Linked DNA regions of Cricetulus griseus. The protein of the gene in region 1 interacts with the protein of each later gene in a pairwise test. Links are inferred from orthologs where the notes say so. Each region holds a gene or a part of one and is shown on either strand. Other genes may lie near its edges.

What was found.
Region 2: the proteins of early endosome antigen 1 (region 1) and Rab5b interact in binary tests that used the Homo sapiens proteins (3 or more experiments, as listed by UniProt). The link is inferred for Cricetulus griseus from reciprocal best matches to the Homo sapiens genes EEA1 and RAB5B.

The regions. Positions count from the first base shown.
Region 1 is NW_023276806.1:161,948,246-161,959,305, forward strand, and holds part of early endosome antigen 1, read left to right. Parts: intron 1-1,787; coding exon 1,788-1,991; intron 1,992-4,308; coding exon 4,309-4,509; intron 4,510-6,147; coding exon 6,148-6,261; intron 6,262-7,186; coding exon 7,187-7,342; intron 7,343-9,259; coding exon 9,260-9,399; intron 9,400-11,060. UniProt on the Homo sapiens protein: Binds phospholipid vesicles containing phosphatidylinositol 3-phosphate and participates in endosomal trafficking.
Region 2 is NW_023276806.1:129,203,822-129,215,343, forward strand, and holds the start of Rab5b (ras-related protein Rab-5B), read left to right. Parts: upstream 1-5,499; 5' UTR 5,500-5,642; intron 5,643-6,355; exon of another isoform or gene 6,356-6,416; intron 6,417-11,522. Other genes in the region: Cdk2 (cyclin-dependent kinase 2), read left to right, coding at 216-317, 1,599-1,742, 2,052-2,255, 2,494-2,598. UniProt on the Homo sapiens protein: The small GTPases Rab are key regulators of intracellular membrane trafficking, from the formation of transport vesicles to their fusion with membranes.

The DNA.
Region 1 (11,060 bases):
ACTTTTTAGCTTCCATAATTTCAGGCTATTACAAAATTCTGTGTGGGTGGTCGAAGTATAGAATGAATTCAACCTGGGGATGAAGGTGACGTGAGTGTTGGGGTTGTGTTCTTAATTCTGTGTGTTTTTATAGTTTGTAGAAAATGAGCAGAAATTGAGGTTAAGACTCAATTTAATTAAGGCTAATTTTGACTAAATCTGGTCTCAAGTCGTCAGTGAATTGGGTAGGGATTTACAGATAACAGTAGAGGGTAGAATGAAGAATAGCATACTTCCAAACCAGCACATGGCTTTTTTATACGAGGGTGATGGCAGCTGGGCCATGGTAGTGCACACCTTTAGTCCCATCACTGGGGAGGCAGAGGCAGGCAGATCTCTTTGAGTTCAAGGGCAGCCTGGTCTACAGAGCTACACAGAGAAACCTTGTCTTGAAGAAGGAAAAAAAAAAAAAAAAAAAGAGGGTGAAAAGGCCAGCCTTCTGGCCTGCTGGTGGAATAGCCTGACTGGGCAGAGACAGAGATGGGGAGTCTGCACAGTGAAAACCAGATTTCAGTGCTGTGTGGAAATTGAGTTCTGCTGAAAGCTCTACCCTGGAATTCAAATTCCAGAAGAATAGTAAAAAAAGAGTAGATGGCAGGAAGAGAAACTGAGAGAAAACAGGCAATGTGTTTTTTCATGACCAAAGCTTAGAGGAATGAGAAACACACTTGAAAAGTGACTGATTTGAATGTTTTAATACTGACACAAATTATTAAACATGCTAGCTGTCTACTTGTCATCGATATTACATGAGCTACTGTAAAGCTAGGGCTTTTATTCTGTGCAAAACTGTTTGACTATTAAAAAGAAGGAGGCAGAGCCAAAGCCATTGGGACCAGGTTATTAATAGAAAGTGGATATTGTGGATGTGATCTGTTGCAGGATGCTCTTTGTAATATTTAGGAAGAAGAGGACTTTGCTGATTTAGAAGAGTCCTGCTGGGTACAGAAGTGAGTTTGCCTAAGTGTCCATGTGTGAGAGTGCAATGATTTTTTGGGGTCGGGGGAGGAGGGAGTGGTTCAAGACAAAGTTTCTTTGTGTAGCCCTGGCTGTCCTAGAACATACTCTGTAGACCAGGCTGGCCCTGAACTCAGAGATCACCTACCTCTGCCTCCCAAGTGTTGGGATTAAAGGTGTACACCACCTTACACAGCTGCAGTGGTTGTTTTCATTCAGTGTTTATTTTAGAACCTTTGTGTCATATGTCTTGGATGTATATCAATGAATAATAAAGATATATATGTAGCATATGTTCTAATGGGAAGCGGAAAGAGGTAAATAAACATGAGAGAAATAAGTAAGCTATAATGTGTTAGAGGTAATGGGCAGGGCGGCTGGATCTAGAACGTGACAATTGAGCAAACATTGAAGAGGGGGGAGGGGATCATTTGGCTGTTGGGGAAGCATTGAAGACAGCAGGATCATTAGTGCAAAGACTCTGAGGTAGGAGTGCCCTTGGTGCAGTCACTGAGTAAGTCCCACTGTCTGAAAAGGATCAGAGCATAGGCAGTAAGGTCAGAGTATTATGAAAATTGTGTTATAAATGTTTTTGTTAAATTCTTGCTTGTAAATAATGTGGACTTATGTTATTAAAAAGGTGGTTTTTATTAATTTGCCACAATAAAGTATAATAATTTTTAAGATGTAGGACTAACATTTTGGATGATTAAAATTATTATCAGTCATTTCATGTTTGAGGAATAACTTTTTAAATCTTCCATCCTTAAAATAGTTTTAATTCTTTACAGAATGATTTGGAACAAGTGTTACGTCAGATTGGTGACAAGGATCAGAAGATTCAGAACCTTGAAGCTTTACTGCAGAAGAGTAAAGAAAATATTTCCTTACTAGAAAGGGAAAGAGAGGACCTCTATGCAAAAATCCAAGCTGGTGAAGGAGAGACTGCTGTTCTTAACCAGTTGCAAGAGAAAAACCATGCACTACAACAGCAAGTACGTTTGTAAATGGTTATTATAGTTCTAAACTTTACTGAAATCCCTGTTAATTGTATTAAATGTTTTATAAAAACAATTCATGGCCCTGGTTTTTCTTGTTTTAAAAAGTTATTTTTTATATCATCATATTTATCATCAAGGTAGGTTACTGTGTGTTGAAGGCCAGTACAATATTTAGACATCCCAGGAGGTAATTTACTACCTGTGTGATGTGGTGATACATTGTTTATGATCTAATAAAGCTTGTCCTAAGATCAGAATGCAAAGCTAGGTACAGCCATAGAGGCCAGGCAGTGGGGGCATACACCTTTAATCCCAGCAGCCACACTAGTTAGCCATAGAGGCTGGGCAGTGGTGGTGTATACCTTTAATCCCAACACTAGAGAGGTATATAAGACAGGAGCTCGGTGTCTCATGCGGCTTTCAGTCTCCAGCCACTCTGAGGATTCCTGGAGACAGGATATCCCTTTCAGAGGTAAGAGCTAGTGGCTGGCTGTTTTGCTATTCTGATCTTCAGCTTGAAGCCCAATATCTGTCTCTGGGTTTTTATTATTTATGCTATATAGTAACCACAGATAAATCACTTCACCTAAGTCCCTGGAAAAGTAGACATGTGACTGATGGTATATACTTTGTCTCCTGGCCTTTGTGATATTTTAAAAAAAGAAATGAGTAACAAATTAGTAAGTTAAATGTGGTAATCAAGTATTAGCTATTACTGAGTATTGCATAATATTTCAAACTCAACAGTTATTTATATTTTGATAATGTATTTGAATTGATGAGTGTAGGTTAGGAGCTTCATAGAGGTTAAGGCAGCTTAATTTGCAAGGCTAAGTGTGAGGTCAGAATTAGCTTTGCAGAGAAAAGCACCACAAATCTCACTAGGGGCCTGCTGGGGCTTTGGTTGAATTCTAAGTTTTGTACTTAGGCAGTGAACTGGAGCTCACAAAAGATGTTCAAGCCCAACCAGTCAGAGATGAAGGCCACCAGACATACCACACCTTACATGAGAAGTAAACATAGAGTAAAAGCTCCTATAGGCCGCTTCTAACAGAAAGGAAAGCTAAACCCTGATAGGGCCCAAGTGAGCCACAAATGCAGCCACCTACTGCTGGAACAAAACACAGCATTCGTTGAAAGAAGACAGCACAATTCAGATTAGTCACAATAAATGACTAAAGGTTACTGGATATGTGAAGCAGCAGAAGAGTGTGAACCATCGACAGTAAAAAGTCATCCAGTGGAGACCTTGAGACTCCTTCCATAGCTCTTTAGTCCACTTCCACTCCTGACAGCGCTTCTCTCCTAGTAAGCTGTCTGTTCATGAGTGACTTGAAAGGCATGGTTTCCCTGTTATCTTCTGGTGGTTGCTGGGATTTTCACCTAATTTATATTATACTTTTCTCTTAAATTCTAATAAAATCAGCCTTGCACTTAAAAACAAAACAAAACAAAACAAAAAAACTTGGTGGAAACAGATCCTGAAATGAAAGATGATGGACTCACCAGATGAATACTTTAAAATACCCCCTAGTGCCTATGGATGTAAAGGACAAACCATAACAATGGCACACGAAGTGGCAATGATACAAAACACCCATAGAGAACTGCTAAAGATAGAAAAATTACTTGAATTGAAAATTGACAGAAAAGAATTAGTGAACATAAAACAAAATGGTTGAAAAATTCCAAATAAAGCTGAAGAGGGCCTCCCTGGGCAGTCTTGTAGGTTAGAAAAGAATAATGAGCTCCAGCCGGGAAGACCTACTAGAATATAAAGCCAGACTTAAAGAACTCAACTCTCATGTATGTGAAAAATATCAGATGAATTAGATTTCATCTAAATTTAAAAAATACATGCTTTTGAAAAGATAACATTGCAAAAGTAAAATAAAAACAAAAACGTATAATTTGTCTGAAAACTTGAAGATACCTGCAGTATACAAAGAATTCTTTGTTAATCAGATTAGTATTTTTGCATAATGAACATATTCTTTACCTTGATTGTGTTAATAATTTAATAAGAGCACACCTTTATCAAGTCTCAGGTTTTATACTTAAATTAGATGAATTTTATTGTGTATAAATTTTACTTGAATAGAGATGTTTTAAAAATAATATATCTGAAATTGATGTTCTTAGGATTTGGGATATTAGATTGACTTGTTAATAAAGATATGGATATTTTTACTGGAAAAAGCTTGAAATTACCTATTATAGAACAGTTCAGTATTCTGATGCGTAAATTTGAGTTTCTTCATTTTTTCTGTGGTTTGCAAACTTTGTAATTAGACTCTTTCATGTGTAATAGCTGATTCAACTAATGGAGAAGCTGAAGAATCAGTCTGAAAGCCATAAACAAGCAGAGGAGAATTTGCATGACCAGGTACAGGAACAGAAGGCACATCTTCGAGCTGCACAAGACCGTGTTCTTTCCCTAGAAACCAGCATCAATGAACTAAGCAGTCAGTTAAATGAAAGCAAGGAGAAGGTCTCTCAGCTTGACGTACAGGTAATGCATTGTTTAATTTGTGTGTGTGCATAGAACATCAATTGTAGACCATACGTGGTATACATTCTTTTCTCTTTACCTGTCAGTGGAAAATGAGTATACAAATTAAATTATATAGTTTCTTGAGGTTTCCTGTGTCCAGAGGTATTTTTGTTCCTTCTCCCTATGCAAAGGTGATTTCTGTAATGTAACTTTTGATTCCCACTTCCAAGGTACTTCCCAGTAGGATGGTCAGCACAGTGTGAAGGTAAATTAGCACATTCAGTGTCCCAGTCTGCTCTTAGTGCCTTACTGTTGTAAGGGCTTTAATGCATGAGCTGCAGCAGTGCAGGTTGCAGCAGTGGCAGGGTCTCTGATCTCCATGCATTTAAAGGGACTGGAGATGGGCTGGGTTTTTTGTTTGTTTTGCCATTAGACCCCTCTGAGATAGAGTGGTGGTATTAATCAGTTCCCTCAGGTCTTCACATATTACATGACTTTAGAAAATCTGTCACATCTATTTTGAAACATTTCATGAATTTTAAGTTCTTCACAAAGATGAACTGCTATATGTAAATGAAGCTGATTTACAGAAAAATAAGTTCTTCACACTCTGGAACTTGTTTGCCAGTGAATGTTTACTTCCTGTTCTTGAAGTGTAGATTTCTTTAGTTTTCACTTTGAACTCAAGATAGAGATATACCTGATCAAACATCATTTCTGTGAAGAGTAACAATTGAGTTACTGAGAAATAATTATTTGGAGAAGATTTTCCTTTCTGCTTGAAATTATGGTTATTGTGTATATTTTAAATTTTTTATGTTCACTCATCCTCTCTTGACTTAGTTAAATGAGTATCATTTTAACTCTTCTAAAATATGTTAATTTCAAATGTATTTATATTTTTTCTACTTTTTGCTTTTCTTAATAGAGGTGAATTGTGCTAAAGTTATTTCACTACTTATAAATGTCACTTTTGATAAAGAAGGCACAACTTTCAGCTCATTTGACTGTTTCAAAACTTATTGAGGAAAGCCTGAGGTTTTAAATGTGTGATTTCTTGGCTTTCAATGAGAATCAAAAATGAAACTCTTTATATGAGAAGTTACCTGGAAAGAGTGAATTTTAAACATACTTCTGGTTTGTTTTATTGTTTGGGCTCCATACTGAAGTCCTTGATCTTAAGAGCCATCATTTTCTATGGCATAGTTGAGTTTATTGTGGTACTGGTAAAATTTGACATTTCTTTCTGGTCTCCCCAGGAAAGTAAAGTATACAGTTTATTTGCCTTTTTAAGATACGGTCTAAGCACGTAGCATGGACTGGAACTCACAGTCCTTTTGCCTTTGCCTCTTACCTGTTGGGTTCTCAGACCTGTATCCCCAGTCCTGGAACCATTTTTTTTTTTCCACAAAGGGGCACACCAGCATGTGTTGGTATCACAGAGGAACAGCTCTTATTGTTATCTAACCATTATCCTCTCCCTTACCTACTTCTATTTGGGAGATTTTCACATATGTATTTTTCAGTGTCTCAGCTATTACTTTTCTACTATAGAACCTAATTTTTTAATAGTTTTGTGACAAAACTAATGTGTCTTAAGGAAGGGAAAGACAACAGTTAAATATGGAGTTCAGTAATTTGTAAATTGTGTTTCAGATTAAAGCCAAAACTGAATTGTTACTATCAGCAGAAGCAGCAAAAACTGCTCAAAGAGCTGATCTTCAAAATCATTTGGACACAGCTCAAAACGCACTACAAGATAAACAGCAGGTAGGGGATCTGGTACTGTCACAGTATAGCATCCTGTTTTGTAGTTAAATTAATTACTAATTTGTTAAAATGGTGACTGGCTTTCTATAATCTTGTGATAGGCTTTCAAACCCTCTTTTTCAGACTTTTTAGAACCAATTGAGTGGATACTACAGGAGCCAGAGAGATCTTTTATTTTTTTATTTTTTATTTTTTTTAGATAACTAGTGTTCAGGTGTGGATGGGTTTCCTAATATTGTATTGGGTATCCTAGGTAGCCTAGGCCATAGTAAGAGATGAAATATTACTTTCAAGTGTGGGATTGTTGCCTTTTCACATAAGGAACCACTGGTTGGGGAAGTGAGGTAGACCGACAGCCTTCTTTTTTTTTGGTTTTTCGAGACAGGGTTTATCTATGTAGTTTTGACCCCTGTCCTGGAACTCACTCTGTAGACCAGGTTGGCCTCCAGCCTCCAACTCTTCTTCCCGAGTGCTGGGATTTTTTTTTTTTTTTTTTTTTTTTTTTTTTTGGTTTTTCAAGACAGGGTTTCTCTGTGTAGCTTTGGAGCCTATCCTGGCACTCGCTCTGCAGACCAGGCTGGCCTCGAACTCACAGAGATCCGCCTGCCTCTGCCTCCCGAGTGTTGGGATTAAAGGCGTGCACCACCAACGCCCTGCGATGGCAGGCTTCTTAATAGAAGCTTCTGCTTTAGGGTCACTGTCAAAGTGCTGGTAGCCTTCCTCCCCTTTGTTAGGGAGGACTTTTAGAATATACTTACTAAAATAATACTGACGCTCTAGGCCCATTTCCTATATTTACCCTTTACTCTAATTCAATCTTTCTCCTTAGGTAGGAATGTCTTATTATATAAAATTGGAGTTTTCAGTTTCACTGTGACTGAATATTGGGGTGCTACAACTTTTCTTCAAATGTGTTTTCCTGCAGGAGTTAAATAAGGTCACTGTGCAGCTGGACCAGGTCACCGCAAAGTTACAGGAGAAGCAGGAACACTGCAGTCAGCTGGAGAGCCATCTAAAAGAGTACAGGGAGAAGAACCTCTCTTTAGAACAGAAAGCTGAAGCATTAGAAGGCCAAATTAGGGTTTGTATAAGACAGTTGAATTTGTTGTATTTCCTACTCAGCAACTATGGAATCTGATGACCTTCCCAGAGTCAAAGACTTAAGTGACAAAGAAAGGTGAAGTGGTATAAAACTTCAACAGTTACTTTATCAGTTACTCTTGAATTCCATCTTTATTTTCCATTCCTTCATTGATGGGTGACTTTGATAAATAGCAATTAACATAGTGCCAGTTTTATTGTAAAGTGTAAACTATTTTCAGGAGACACCAAACATTATAATTCTGATGGTCTAAAATCTCTTCTCCCCTTTGATTTTCCATTTCCCTATGTCTTATTCCAATACAATATCATGTATGGTGACATTTTTTTTCTTTTTAAAACTTTATACGCCCTTTGGATTTTGCTCCTAATTTAGTAATGCATTTAAACCATTATAAGCTGAACCTTACCTTAAGATAATTCTAAGTGAGGTGTTGATTTACTAAAAAGATGAGATAATTAGACTTATCAGAGGAAAATTTGACTTTAGAATTATCAGCACTTAACGAAAATATCCTTAGGTTTCCTGTTACCTGCACTTCCATAATCAGTTGAAGCATGATGTATGATTACAGGATTATGAGGTGACTGTTTTACATGGACAATATAACATGAGAGAATGACTGCAGCTCTACAGCTCTGTTTTTGGTTTTCTTTTTAATGCTAACAGTAGTCATAATGCTAAATTAGATATGGTTGCAAAGACTAGGTAGGCAAAAACGGGTTACAGAAAAGTGAGCAGAGAGAACTCTTATTTGGGAACCTTTCTAAAATAGTTGTAATTATAACAAGAATTTCTGGGGCACTGTCACATGACACATGATTTTAGATAACACCTTATACTGCACATTTCAAAAGGCTAGAAAAATGATTTTTGAAAGTTTTCAGCATCGAGAAAAGGAAAATGAAGAGATATGTGTAACTCGGTTTAAGCATGACATTATTAGGTACCCCACTGGCACGTATAATGTCTATGTTTTGTGTTTCATTTAAGAAAATAGTTAAATGGGGGCTGGGGAAATGGTTGAGTCAGTGAAGTCCTGCCATGTAACCTGAGCTTGGAGACATGGCATCTGTGTAACATGCCAGGCATGGCAGAAAGGGCCTGTGAAGCTTATGCTGGGACTTACTGCTTGGCCAGCCTAGCTGCATCTGAAAGCTTCTAGTTTAATGATAGACGCTGTCTCAGAAAGTAGGATGGAGAGTTAAAAAGCCACCTAGTTTTGACATGTGTCTTCCACATGCACACACTCCCCAAAGGTACACACATGAACATACACACGTAAATACATACCAAAAGATAATAGAAAGCATGTTTCCTCCATTTAAACCTATGTGTAGTACTTTGATTTTATAAATTTGAAAAATCCAACTCATAATATTATGCATAATATGAGTCTGATGCGCTACAAAAAGCAGTGACAAAATCTAAACTAAGACACTAAGCAAAGTCAAGAATTTTAGGTGCTGTATGTTTAAGGTCAGTGGATGTCAGTTCAAGGACTACACCACAAATTTGTTCATTTGTACGTTAAGCATCTTGCTATTCATAGTTGTTAACTGCATATGCACAGGTAATATATTTTAAGTGGGTACAGAAATGACCAGTTACTTAGTTTTTTTTTCAAACTCGAATTACTAAACTTTTGCTTTTAGAATAAATATTTATGTATAAGTTGATTCTCATAATTAATTTTGAAAATAACTGCTGACTTATATAAAGTACCTAGTCTAGATTCTCTGACAGATTCTAAGCAGAACAACTTCCTCATTTGGTAGTGGTGTCAGAAAGGGTTTCTGTAAATGTAGTTATTTTGTCAATAACAATTTGAATGTTATAATTTAGTAATAGTTTAGATATTGTCAAATTCAAGTGGATGCTGTACTTTACCCACAGAAACTAGAAGCTGATGCTCTAGAAGTTAAAGTAAGCAAGGAGCAGGCTTTGCAGAGTCTACAGAAGCAGAGGCAGCTGAACATAGACCTCGAGCTTAGAACCACAGAACTGAGTAAACAGCTTGAAGAGGAGAAGGAAATGTAAGCTGACTGTCCACTTTATACCCTGTGGTTCTCTGTGTGTGCACCGTTCTTAGAGACTCCACAGTGTGGCTCTCTCTGTGTGTGTGTGTGTGTGTGTGTGTGTGTGTGTGTGTGTGTGTGTGTGCTGCTTTATATACTACTCATGTTAATGTCAATGAAAAATAACACTATTGTTACTTAAAATTAATATCATTTTCCATCATTCACTTAGTTCAATAAAATTTGGTTTAGTCACTTTTCAGCAGTAATATGGTAGCTGTTTCTCTTGAGCATTCATTTCCAGCTGTTCACCAGTTTGAAATAGTTAACATAAAAATTTTTAAATACTGGAATGTGTATATGTGTCACTTAAGAACAGTCATGTTTCTGATCTGTGATACTATACTAAATACAGAAAGTGTTTTACTCATTAGGAATTTGTCTTTTCAACTTTGTCGTGAATTTTTAACTTTGATATTATTGAGTACTTAATTTGCTTTCTCTTGCTGTGATGAAACACTAAAGAATTTGGAGAGGAAAAGGTTTATTACATCTTACGGGTTAGAGTACATCATCAAAGGAAGCCAGGACTAGAGATGAAGGCAGGAACCTGGAGGCAAGAACTGAAGCAGGAGCCATGGAAGGGAGCTGCTTACTGGCTTGCTCATCCTATTTTCTCACACTCAGGACCACCCACCCAGGGCTAACACTGCCCACAGTGGGCTAAGCCTTCACGCATCAGTCAAAGAAGTGCACCATAGGCAGACCTACCCACTAGTCTCTGTGTAGCTTTGGAGACGATCCTGGCACTCGCTCTGGAGAGTTGACAGTCAGTTGACAGTCAGTCCATCGATCAGTCAATCAGGCAATCAATAAGCCACATACATTGAGTGAAGGAAAACTCCAGAATTAGTGTACATTCTTCAAGTTGGATTTTCACTTCCTCATTGATGTAGCTTATTCATAAAAGTCTGCATTGCCTGGTGTTGGTGGCGCACGCCTTTAATCCCAGCACTCGGGAGGCAGAGGCAGGCGGATCTCTGTGAGTTCGAGGCCAGCCTGGTCTGCAGAGCAAGTGCCAGGATAGGCTCCAAAGCTACACAGAGAAACTCTGTCTCGAAAAACCAAAAAAAAAAAAAAAAAAAAAAAAAAAAAAAAAAAAAAAAAAAAAAAAAATCTGCATTAAAGGATCAATGATAGTGAATCACTTTTTTTTTAAAGATTTTATTTATTTATTTATTTATTTATTATGTAAACAGTTATCTGCATGCATGCTTGCACACCAGAAGAAGGCACCAGATCTCATTATAGATGGTTGTGAGCCACCATATGGTTGCTGGGAATTGAACTCAGGTCCTCTGGAAGAGCAGACAGTGCCCTTAACCTCTGAGCCATCTCTCCAGCCCATGAATCACTTTTTAATCTAATGTATTTGAAGTTAGATAAACCATTTGTCTTTATTTTTTGAAGAAAAATTATTCCTTTAAAAATATCTTACTATATTATGTTAAATGATTTGAGATTCAGATTCTTCAACATAAAATATTTTATATCTTTAAGAGAAGACACATAGTTTCATGTGTGCCTAGGGAATAACACACTGACTAGGTTCTTTAGGGGCCTGGAAAACCTTTGCTAGTTGTAGACTGTCTAGGATTTATTATCTGAATTTCTCAGAT
Region 2 (11,522 bases), about 33 Mb from region 1:
TGTCAGGCAGTTCACCATCACCCTTAACTCCAGCTCCAAGGGATCAGACACTTTCTTCTGGCCCTGAGGACACTGCACAGTTGTGGTATACACAATGCATGTATACACATTATTAAAGTAAAAAACCATAATAAGATCCATCTTAAAAAGAGAGGGTGGAGGGCAGCAGGGTTTTGTTGAATTGAGGTATGTGACCTTGTCCTCTTGCTTCCCAGGTGGTGACCCTGTGGTACCGAGCACCTGAAATCCTTCTAGGCTGCAAGTACTACTCCACAGCCGTGGATATCTGGAGCCTGGGCTGCATCTTTGCTGAAATGGTATGGAGGCTTGCCAGGTTCTATCCAGCCCACTCTTGCCTGCATCCAAGCGCAAAACCCATTTCTTGGCCTGAAGTGGTCCTTTATCACAGAGTTCTCTCAAGTATCACCCTCTGTAGAGGTAGTGGCCCTGATACCAACTCAGTTTTAGAATATTCCTAAATAGATTTAGTTACCTAGTATTTTATCTCTTACCCAAAATGAGCTAAATCCATTCCGTACCCATCAGCTGCTTTGTTTTGTTTTCTGTTTTTGTTATTTTATTTTGAGACAGTCTCACTGTGTAGCCCATTTATAGTCTCGCTCTCTCCCGCTTTAGCTCCACTTCCCGCCATTACCATCTAGCTCATGGGACTGAGCTGACAGGCATGACCCACCATACTCATTCAGCTGTTTCAGCTTTAATCCTCAAATATTTGGAAGAGTGAATTCCTTTTAGTACAACAGGTGGCCCACAGGCCTCAACACATAATCATAGACTTATTTAAACAGGGTGGGTTTTTGTTTTGTTGGTGGTGGGGCATTTTTGTTTTGCTCCTTTGTTTTGTTACTTTTTTATTTTTATTTATTTTTTTTACATCCCAACCAAAGTTTCCCCTCCCTTCCCTCCTCCCACTTCATCCCCTTGTTTATTTTTTAAAGGTATTTTTTTCCTTCCTTTTTGTTTTTTATTTTTACTTTTTAAAAATTTTTTATTTTTATTTTTATGTGTATTGGTGTTTTGCCATGGGTGTCAGGCCCCCTGGAACTGGAGTACAGACAGTTGTGAGCTGCCATATGGGTGCTGGGAATTGAACCCAGGTCCTTTGGGAGAGCAGTCAGTGCTCTTAACACTGAGCCATCTCTCCAGAACTTTGTAGATGACAGCATCATGTCAGAGTGTCAGAAGTTTGGAGAGGTCTGATTTTTGTCTCCTTCATTTAACCTATAGACCCGTTCTTGGAATTTAGTAAAGCTAAATTCATTCAACTGCTCCACATCTATCGTTTTTGTAGACTTGGTCATGCCCTGCCTCCTCAACCGCTGGCTTTTCAGACTGAAGGATCCTTGAAGCATAGCATAGCTTCAGTATGGGAGCTCCCATCCCATTTAATGCAACAGTGGATCAACAGCTCAGTAACTTTTTTTTTTTTTTTTTTTTGGTCTTTTATCTGGGTTGAACCTGGGGGCTTGGAGACCATTCCCCTAGATATAGATATACATATAGAATGTGAATTTATCCACCAGTACCTTACAATTGCCCATATTCCTCTCTCAATTCATCAAAAAATATTTGTTAAGCACCTAGTGTGTACCCAGCACCATGCTAAGTGCTGTGGGGAACACAGAAGAAATGGAAGACACAGTCTCTGCCCGCTGTGCTCCTATCTAGAAGTGGCTGCGTCACAAGGAGGGGGGATGACCGCAGTGTCTACCCCATACCCCGTGAGTGGCTTGGGATCCCTTTGCTACATGTCAGTGGCACCCCAGACATTCACCCCCTCCCAGCCCCACCCAGCCTTGGGGATCGACAAAGCCATGGTTGGGGGAAGGAAGGAGGAGGGGGCGAGGAGGCAGATGAAGGGACTTCATTGTCTCAAGTTCTGTATGACCGACCCCATGAAAAGCCCCGGGGAGGGGAGTCATGGGGCCCTGCTGACCTTCCACTGCCTGTGGGAACCTCCTCCGAACAAGGGGCAGTGTGGACTGACGTCAATGTGGGGCTTGGCCTTTCCTCTTGTTCCCCATTTTCAGGTGACCCGGCGGGCCCTGTTTCCCGGAGATTCTGAGATCGACCAACTCTTCCGGATCTTCCGGACTCTGGGGACCCCTGATGAGGTGGTTTGGCCGGGAGTCACTTCTATGCCTGATTATAAGCCGAGTTTCCCGAAGTGGGCTCGGCAAGATTTTAGCAAAGTTGTGCCTCCACTGGATGAAGATGGGCGGAGCTTGTTATCGGTAAGAGCCGGGAGGGGGTGCCCACATAAGCGCCTCTCCCATTCCCCAGAGAAGAGAAGCAGATCCCCTCAACTCCGTTAGAATTACCCTAGTCCTCCATTCCTCCGCTCATCGGTAGGCTGGTTCAGCATTGGGAGAAGGGAAGAAGTGAGGTCTGGGTCCCAGGTTTCCGAGCACACCTGCTCTGCATTGGGTCCACTGTTACATCACTGAAGTCAGAATATATTTCTCCCTCCAGCAAATGCTGCACTATGACCCCAACAAGCGGATTTCAGCCAAAGCAGCCCTGGCCCACCCTTTCTTCCAGGATGTGACTAAGCCAGTACCCCACCTTCGGCTGTGATGTCCTTCCCAAAGCCTTCCTCACCCTTGGTCTGACTTGACTCTGGGCCTTTTGGACACAGGTCAGCCTTCTACTCTTTTCTGGCTGTCTTAGCACTCACTTTTTCTCTTGGCCAGCCAGTTCCCGGGACTCAGAGGTGCAGGGAAAGATGAGGTGACAGGAAAAAGTTTTGGTATCAGATGCACTTAACCCAGCTTCCACTACCTTCTCTCCCTCTTAGTCATCACTGAGGGTTGGTATGCAAAACAAAACAAAACTGACCATTCTCTACCCACCCCCATGTCAAGTTTGGCCATCCCAGTCTTATAAATTATTGTGTCCCATGTTTAGGAAGACACACCCCAGACCTCCTGGTGCCACTGTTTTATAAAGGCCAACTGATAAGTTGGGACATTTAGGAACCAAGCCACAGAGGTCTATTTTAATGAATTAGATGAAAAAAAAAAAATAGATCCAAACAGTTTATACCTTAGTTGTAGTGTCTGGCCTCGCCCGACAATCAAGGAGGCCCAGCTGGAGAAGCAGAAGAAATGTTCCCTTTCAGCACTCTGTCTACCTTCTGCAGGGCAAGAAGTCAGGAGGGGGATAGGGATTGGTCTGTTCACCATAATTCACAAGGCAAGGTGAAAGACACTGGAATCTTTCTTTTAGTAATTTTGTTTTCTGGTGCTAACAACTGAACACAGGACCTCGCCCTCACTAAGCAAATGCACCACCCGTATGCCAGATTTTCTAGCCCCTCTTTTTGGCGTTTTAGCTCTTCAGTTTGTCAGAGGTCCCTGTTGCCATCTTCTTCCTCTGAGAGTCACCCCTGACTCCATAGTGGAAGTGAAGCTTTAGATGTCACTTTGAAAGGCTTTGACCTGGTCAGGTCATCGGGGGACATTTTCTATAAAAGAGTTAACAATTATATTTATATTTCAAGTTATAGTAGTTTGGATATTTTAGTGTTTTGATTTTTGTTTTTTTGGGGGGCGGGGCAGTGTGGATGGATTTGTTGCCATGTGCACTTTGGAATTTTGTAATGCAATTGTTGAAAGAAAATATTTCTTTTATGATCTTCTCCCTCTACCCCTTGTCCTCCAGTGTTCTGTTAATATTATTTGTAATTTAGTTTGTAATTCATTAAAAGAAATTATTCTCAGTTGTATAGTGGATCTCTTTCATATTTTATCATTTATATATTTTCTGAAAGAACTGAGCGGGTCACAACCTGAATGTGAATAAGTGATTTCAGAGCCCTTTTCCTAATGTTTGTAAATGCAGGACATCCTCCCATGCCTTTGCACTTGGGATGGTTGTGAGTGTGAGCAAATTGGGTATTGTCTTAGGGAAACTGAAGCTTCTTTCCTACCTTTTCCTATCGACCAGCTAAACCTCTCCTATTCCTGCTCACACGTGCACATGAATAGAGTGCTGTTTCAGTTTTTCTGTTATCAGCAACTTGACTGAGTGGGCTTCAGCACCCCATTTCCCAGTAGGCTTTTACCATTTGTGTAGGTTTTTTTGTTTCTTTGTTTTGGTCTTGAAATTATGTATACATGTGTGGGTCTGTGAACATGAGTGTCAAGTGCCTGCAGAGGCCGGAAGAGGGCACTGGATCTCCTACAGCTAGTTACAGGCAGTTGTAAGCCCTGTGGTGTGGGTACTGGGAACCGACATTGGGTTTTCTGCCAAGAGTGGTACTTGCTCTGAACTGCTGAGCCATCTCTCTAGCCTAGCCTGCCAGAGAGAGACCCTCGTTTCAATCCTCAGTACTACCAAAAAAAAAAAAAAATCCTTAGCATAGTTGTCTAAATATTTTCACATTTACACACAATTCAGAAAATACCAATTACATGACAATTTAGGAGGTCTAAAATGTCTTCAGACTACCGCTCTTTGTTGACCATAAAAAAATAGGCAGTCCACCCAAAAACCCCTGTTCTCTAATGCTCCTCTAAAAAGAACTTCTGAGAGAAAGTTCCCAGATAGGATGTCTTCAATTTGACACGGAAGGCGGGGCACTAGGGTAAGCAGAAGAAGACAAGGTTAATACCAGTCTCTCTCTCTCTCTTTTCTTTTTTCCACGAGACAGGGTTTCTCTGTATTGTTTTGGAGCCTATCCTGGAACTAGCTCTTGTAGACCAGGCTGGCCTCGAACTCACAGAGATCCCCCTGCCTCTGCCTCGGAGTGCTGGGATTAAAGGCGTGCCCCACCACCGCCCGGCTCAGTCTCTTGTTTTTTTGTTTTTTGTTTTTGTTTTTCTTAGTAGTGTCTCACGATGTGATGTGCTGTGTAGACCAGGCTGGTCTGGAACTCATGGAGATTGCTAGGATTAAAGGCGTGGGCCTCCAAACCCAGGGTTTGGGTTTTTTTTTTCCCCTCCTCTTAAATTGAGACCTTGTCTCAAGGAGCCCAGGCTAGCCTTGAACTTGCTAGGTGAAGGGAGGATGACCTAGAACGCCTAATCCTGCCGCCACCTCCCAGTGCTCGATTAGGCGGGGATGCAAGCCACACCACACCCGGCCTTTACAGGGCAGCTTTCGCGCTCGCCTTGCCTGCCACTCAAGTTCGGAAGTGTCCTAGCACTGGTTAAGGTTTCCTTTTGTCCCGCCTGCTTCACTCACCTGATTAGATGTTTACGAGTCAAAAGGCGGGGGAGGAGTGTCACGGGTGTCGAGGTTTCATTGGCTGACGCAGATGCCCGTCAGTACTGCACCGCCCTCTTTCCCAGGATATCTCTCTCTAATGGTTGCTCACCCCGTCAATCTTCAAGGCTTCTCGTTTAGGTATTGGCTCGCGGCCCCGCCAGTCAAGTCTCTCCCTGTACTGGTTGGTGACAGTCCCCCAAAGCCCGCCTTTCTCCAGAAGATTGGCGGGTGAACGCACATATAGCCCACCTTCCACAGTAGGCGGGTGATCCTGCGATTGGCTGGAGCCCTCGCCCTGGCGAGGAGGAGGAGGAGGAGGAGGAGGAGAAGGGGGCAGGAGGTTTGGTTGAGCACCAGCTGTTTGTCTGTTCCACACAGGCTTGGGCCCGACGGGGGAGACGGAGCCCCAGGTACCGAGCTGATGGAGCCCGCAAGGGCAGAGGCGGAGGTCCAGAGAGGAGCGCAGCCCGGCCTGCGGCCGAGGCGGCTCGGGCCTAAGCCAGGGCTAGCTAGCCCCCCGGAGCGGGCAGAGGGGCCGCCCCGGCAGGCCTAGTGGGGGCGCTGAGGAGGTGATCGGCAGGGCTGGGAGCCGAGCCTCCCAGTCTGGGAGGCGGCTGGGTTCTGGCTGCGGCCGCTCAGGGGCCGGGCGCGGGGACCCGGAGCCGGTGTGGACCAGGGCCGGCCTTGGTCCTCCGAGCACCGCGGCGAGGAGGGAGGAGCTGGGGTCGGGGACCAGGCAGCGACGGAGGGAGGGGAAGCCCGTTTGGCTAGGAGGTGTGGAGGGGTCAGCGCTACGCCCAGCCCCGAGGGTGGTAGCCGAGGCTGGGTCTCTAGAGACAGACGTCCGGTGTCGGGGGTGCGGAGCCGGCCGAGCGAGAGGCATTCTTTTCAGCGCAAGTGGCTGTTGGAAGGGGGACTGGGGGTGCTCTGGTGTTGTCGATAAAGAGGGATTTGGTCTCGGTGAAGCAAGAGTCTCAGTAAATGAAGAAGAATGCATTGCTGAGCTAGAACATCAAAGTAGACGGAAGTAGAAGCAGGGCCTGGTATCAGTTATGGGAACTTCTGGAATGATGGTGAGGAGAGGCTCTGTATCTTGCAGTTCCTTACTCTTTTGTTCCCTTAGCCTTTTAGATGTGGTGGTTTCAAGTTTTGGGGGCACTTGAGAAGTAGGAATGAAGACAAAGGTAAAAATCATGTTTTCCGTGGCTCCAGGTTCAGCCCCCGCCCCCCCCCCAACTTTTAATTTGCCTGGCCTCAAAGCTAGTCTTGACTGCAGTCTGCTTTCTTTTTGCTTGTTTGTGCCCCCCCCCCCCCGTTGTCTGAACTGTGAAAGAACTAAGAATTTGGGGTTTGCTTTGCCAGTCTTACCCACTTCATAATGTGGTCAATCTGTGGTGACCCAACTTTTACCTAGAATTGGGGACTCTGTCATCTGCACGGAAAGGGGTTTAGGGTTCCTCAGCCACTAAAACATGGGCCATGTTTGTTGAAACTTCTTTGAAGTTTCTGTGAAATGCTTGGGCATTTCCTAGACAGTTAATGGAGGTCTCCAGGCCTGGAACTGTGAGGTGATATTTCTAAAGGGATTTGGGGAAGTTGGCAGGTCCCTTTTTCCTTTGTCCACTTCTCTAGAAAACACTTTTGTGTGACTAGCTAGTTAGGTCAAACTCCAAGGAATTTAGGAAAAGAAGGATTATAGAGAATGAAGATGCCTTTAAAACTTATTGTGTGTGGGTGCCTGTGTCTGTCTGTGTGTGTGTGAGCCACAGTGCAGAGTGTGGAGGTCAGAGACAGCTTGTGGGTGTTCAGTTCTCAGGTTTGGCAGCCTAGAAGACAGATTATTAATGACAAATGAGAGACCTGTCAGTTTTCCATATATCATTGAGCCCTATTGGTTTCTCTTAGGATCCTACCTCTCCTTTTCTTTCTATACTAATACTATTTATCACTGTTATATATATATATATATATATATATATATATATATATATATTTATAATTTTATGTGTATGTATGTGTGACAGAGTGTATGTATGTGCCTCATATGTGTGCAGGAGCCCTCAGAGGTCAGAAAAGATATTGGGTCCCCTGGCAATGAGTTACAGACAATTGTGAGCTGCCATGTGTGTTGGTAACCGAGAACACAGGTCTTCTGCAAAGTGCCCTTAACTGCTGAGCCATCTCTAGCCTGTATCACTACATTTCTTAATTACCAAAGTAACATATACATATTTTTAAATGTTTAAGGTATACAGAGATACATAAAAGCTGAGTCTTTCCACGCTAGCTTATTTCATTTAGGACAGTTAGAGATATTAAATAAAAGTAATCTTTCTGTTGAGGGATGTGCCATGAAAGACAGAGTTTTTGTTTTGTTTTGTTTTCATGTTCTCACTGAATTCTATTTTCTTGTTCTTTGCACAGAGAATACTCTTAGATGATACTCTGTTATTTATTGTGTTTCTTTTACAGTTCATCTTGTCTCCTATCAAATTCAGAACAAGCATAGAGTTGTCCTCTGAATTATCATTTGCCTTCTTCAATACACACTCACACAGTTGTGCACTGGGTAGCCTAAAAACTGCCCAAATACATGAACAAAACTTTTTTATGTGCAGGAAAGAAACATTAAGGGAAATCATCTTGTTTGGGACAGTTATTGGCTTCTCTCCTAGAGTGAAGAATCTGAAACCCTCAAGTTTTCCCAGTATTTGACTGTTTCTTCCTTATCTCAGAGAGAGTGATGGTTCTAGAAGAGGGTCTTGTACCTGGCTTGGTATATAGTAACCCAAGAAGTTTCCCTATTTCTCTGAATTTTAAATTGGGTTTCCTCCAAATTTAGAAGTATCAGAGACTCGTTTGACTTTTTTGACTCTTTGAAGCCCTCTAGTATGCTAAATTGTACAGTGTCCAGCAAAAACCTCAGATCAACACTGCCCCTCAACTTCCTACCTTACCCTTAAAAACTCCTTTAAGAAAGGATTTAGAAGTTGGGCGTGGCACTTGACTGATTCCAGCATTCTGGAGGTTCAAGTCCAGGCTAAGCTACACAGCAGGCACTGTCAATAATTCCCAAAAGATTTTTTTTTTTTTCTTAAGATCTGGGTTCTAGGATTATAGCCTAGTGGTAGAGTATATGATGAGCATTTACCAGATTCTGGGTATAAAGAGATTGAGAATAAAGGTTGTATCTGGAGTCACTCAAATTTAAAATGTAAATAATTCACAGTGACTTAATTATTTCCAAAGGTTTCTACATATTTAGGGAGCTGAAGAGTGGACTTAGCAATGTAGAATCTCAAACATAGACCTGGAGTTAGAACAGTATGTCTGGAGAAGAAGGCTCTTTCTTGTTGTCCTTAAAATCATGTCCTGTCTCTTCTCTTAACCTTGCTTTAGCACAGGAATTACTTCTTTGTGGTTGGCTTGTCTATGTGTGTTAATAAATTTGACATCTGAGAAGGAGGCATAGATGGGGTAGGAGAAGCAGCAGGCGCCTGCTTCCTAACCCAAAAGTATTTCCGGTGGGAAGGGGGTCAGTGGTACAGCCTGCCTAGCATGTGGGAGGCCAAATGTGACTGGAGTGTGAAACAGCAAACTTAAAGTAAGGAAGTGCAATGGCCGTCTGGGAGGAAGGATGCCCTAAAGCCACACATAACATACTCCAACTTCCCAAGAATATTTCTGGAAAGATTTACAAACAGTAACTGAATTGAAAAGGAGCCGGGCATTGGTGGCACAAGCCATTAATCCCAGTACTCGGGAGGCAGAGGCAGGTGGATCTCTGAGTTCGAGACCAGCCTGGTCTACAAGAGCTAGTTCCAGGACAGCCTCCAAAGCCACAGAAAAACCCTGTCTCGAAAAAACCAAAAGAAATGAAAAATAAAACAACGAAAAAGGAGTCAACCAGATGAGAAAAGTAGATTTCTGGGCTAGAATTATGTAGCTTTGGTTTAAGGGTTGTGGGTACCTCCCTGTATGGTGGTATGACTTTGGTTTTTAAAGAAATACAATTTTGGCCCAGTAGTGGTGGCACACTCCTTTAGTCCCAGCACTAGGGAGGCAGAGCCAGTCGGATCTCTGTGAGTTCAAGGCCAGCCTGGTCTACAGAGCTAGTTCCAGGACAGCCAGGACTACGCAGAGAAACCCTGTCTTGAAAAATCAGAAAATGAAAGAAAAAAAAAGAAATACAATTTTGATCTTTTTAAAAATATGTGTGAATACATTATATACATATTTATAATGGTATATGCTATATATTACTATTTATACACATATAAGACTGTGTATACAGTAAAGAATTAGTACAGTAAAATACAGCATATTAACCAAGCTCTCTACCACTGAGCTATATTTCCAGCTCTTGTTTTACTTTTTATTTAAAAACTCTTAACTTATTTGTTTTGTTATTTGTTGTCTTTTGAGACAGGGTTCTCTGTGGCTTTGGAGGCTGTCCTGGAACTAGCTCTTATAGACCAGGCTGGTCTCGAACTCACAGAGATCCACCTGCCTCTGCCTCCTGAGTGCTGGGATTAAAGGCGCCACCAACACCCGGCCACTTTTTTAACTTTTAACTACGTTGCTCATATTGGTTTTAAATTTACTGCCTAGGCAGGCCTAACTTTTTTTTTAGAAATTCATTTATTTTTAATTTATGTATATGGGTATTTGCCTACATGAATATTGTATATATGTGTACTACAAGCCTACCTGGTACCTCTGGAGGTCAAAATAGGGTGTCAGATCCCTTATAAGTGGACATTTGTCAGAACCCAGGTCCTCTGCAAGAGGCACTGTTGCTCTTAATTGCTCAGCCATCTCTCTGGCCCCTCAGTCTTGGTCTTAATTACATTTTCTCTGGGACTCTTGAGCAATGATGAATTTTGCTGTAGTAAGATAATTATTAGTTTCACAGGTGACATTTATACTCAATCCTGTAAATTTGGGTTTTGTTAGGCAGACAGATTAAGGCATGGCATGCTAATCTTTCCCAGGTCAATAATAGGGAGTTAGTACTACCATGCTGATAATCGATAAGCATGCTTTTTGCCTACAAAGGGGAAGGTAGAGGAGGTAGAATTCTTAAGTCAGTGACTCACTGGATAATATTGAACCAACACAGTTAAAGCATTGTGCTAAGGAGTGTAAATCTCAGTTCAAGATTTTGGTGATTTGGGTCTAAACCAAGTGGGAAAAGAAATGAAGGTATCTGTTGGCTTCTGTCCTATCTTCCTTTAGAATACCTCACACCGGCCCCAAAGCTCATCAGATCCTACAGATTGCCATAGTTTCCCTTCTGCCATGCTATCCAGGCAGGCAGGAATTGGTCAAGATCTGACAGAGAAGAACAGTGGTCCTCCTGTGGGAACAATCTAAGACTAGGTCCTATGGGAAACCTTCTTTCCTAACTGTTTTCAGTTCTAAACCCAGTACTTCCTGAAACTGAATGGAGGCACTCATATTTGTATTTTGGTACCCTTTCCAAAGTTAAGCATTTCCTGATTCCTTGAGAAGTACAGTGGAGGGTCTGAGGAGATAGCTCAGTGGGAAGCAAGCTTTTGAAGACTTGATTCAGAGCCCCCAAACCCATGTTTAAAAACAAAACAAAAACCTGGCACACACTTGTAATAATCCCAGCACTGGAGAGCTATAGAGATGGAGATAGGCAGATTCCTGAGGCTCACTGGCCATCCATCCAACCTAGCCTAATTGGTAAGCCAGTGAGAGACCCTGTTTAAAAAAGCCAGATGGACAGTGCTGGAGAAACATCTCAGATTATCCTCTGGTCAACGTAAACATGCTTGCCTGCAGGTACAGTAGAGCCTGGTGTGGGGGTGACTTTAATCCCAGTGATTGTGAGGCAGAGGCAGGCAGTGTGAAGCCAGTCTGGTCTACAAAGTTACTTCCATGCCAGGCAAAGCTTGGTAGAAAGGCCCTGTCTTCAACAACAACAGAAAGTTTAGTAGCGCTGGGTGTAGTAGGTTGCATCTATAATCCCAGCATCTAGGCAGCTGAAACTGGAGTATCACCACAAGTGTAAGACTGTCTTTTCTCCAAAACTATTTAAAACAAAACACAGTGGAGGGATGCTAAGTGGGGGTGGGGGGTAACATGTCTGCAGTCCCAGCACATAGAAGGCAAAAGCAGATGGATTTTTTTGTTGTTATTTTGTTCTTTGAGACAGGGTTTTTCTGTGTAGCCCTGGCTGTCCTGGAACTCACTCTATAGACTGGACTGGCTTTGAACTCAGAGTTCTGCCTGTCTCTTTCTCTTGAGTGTTAGGATTAAAG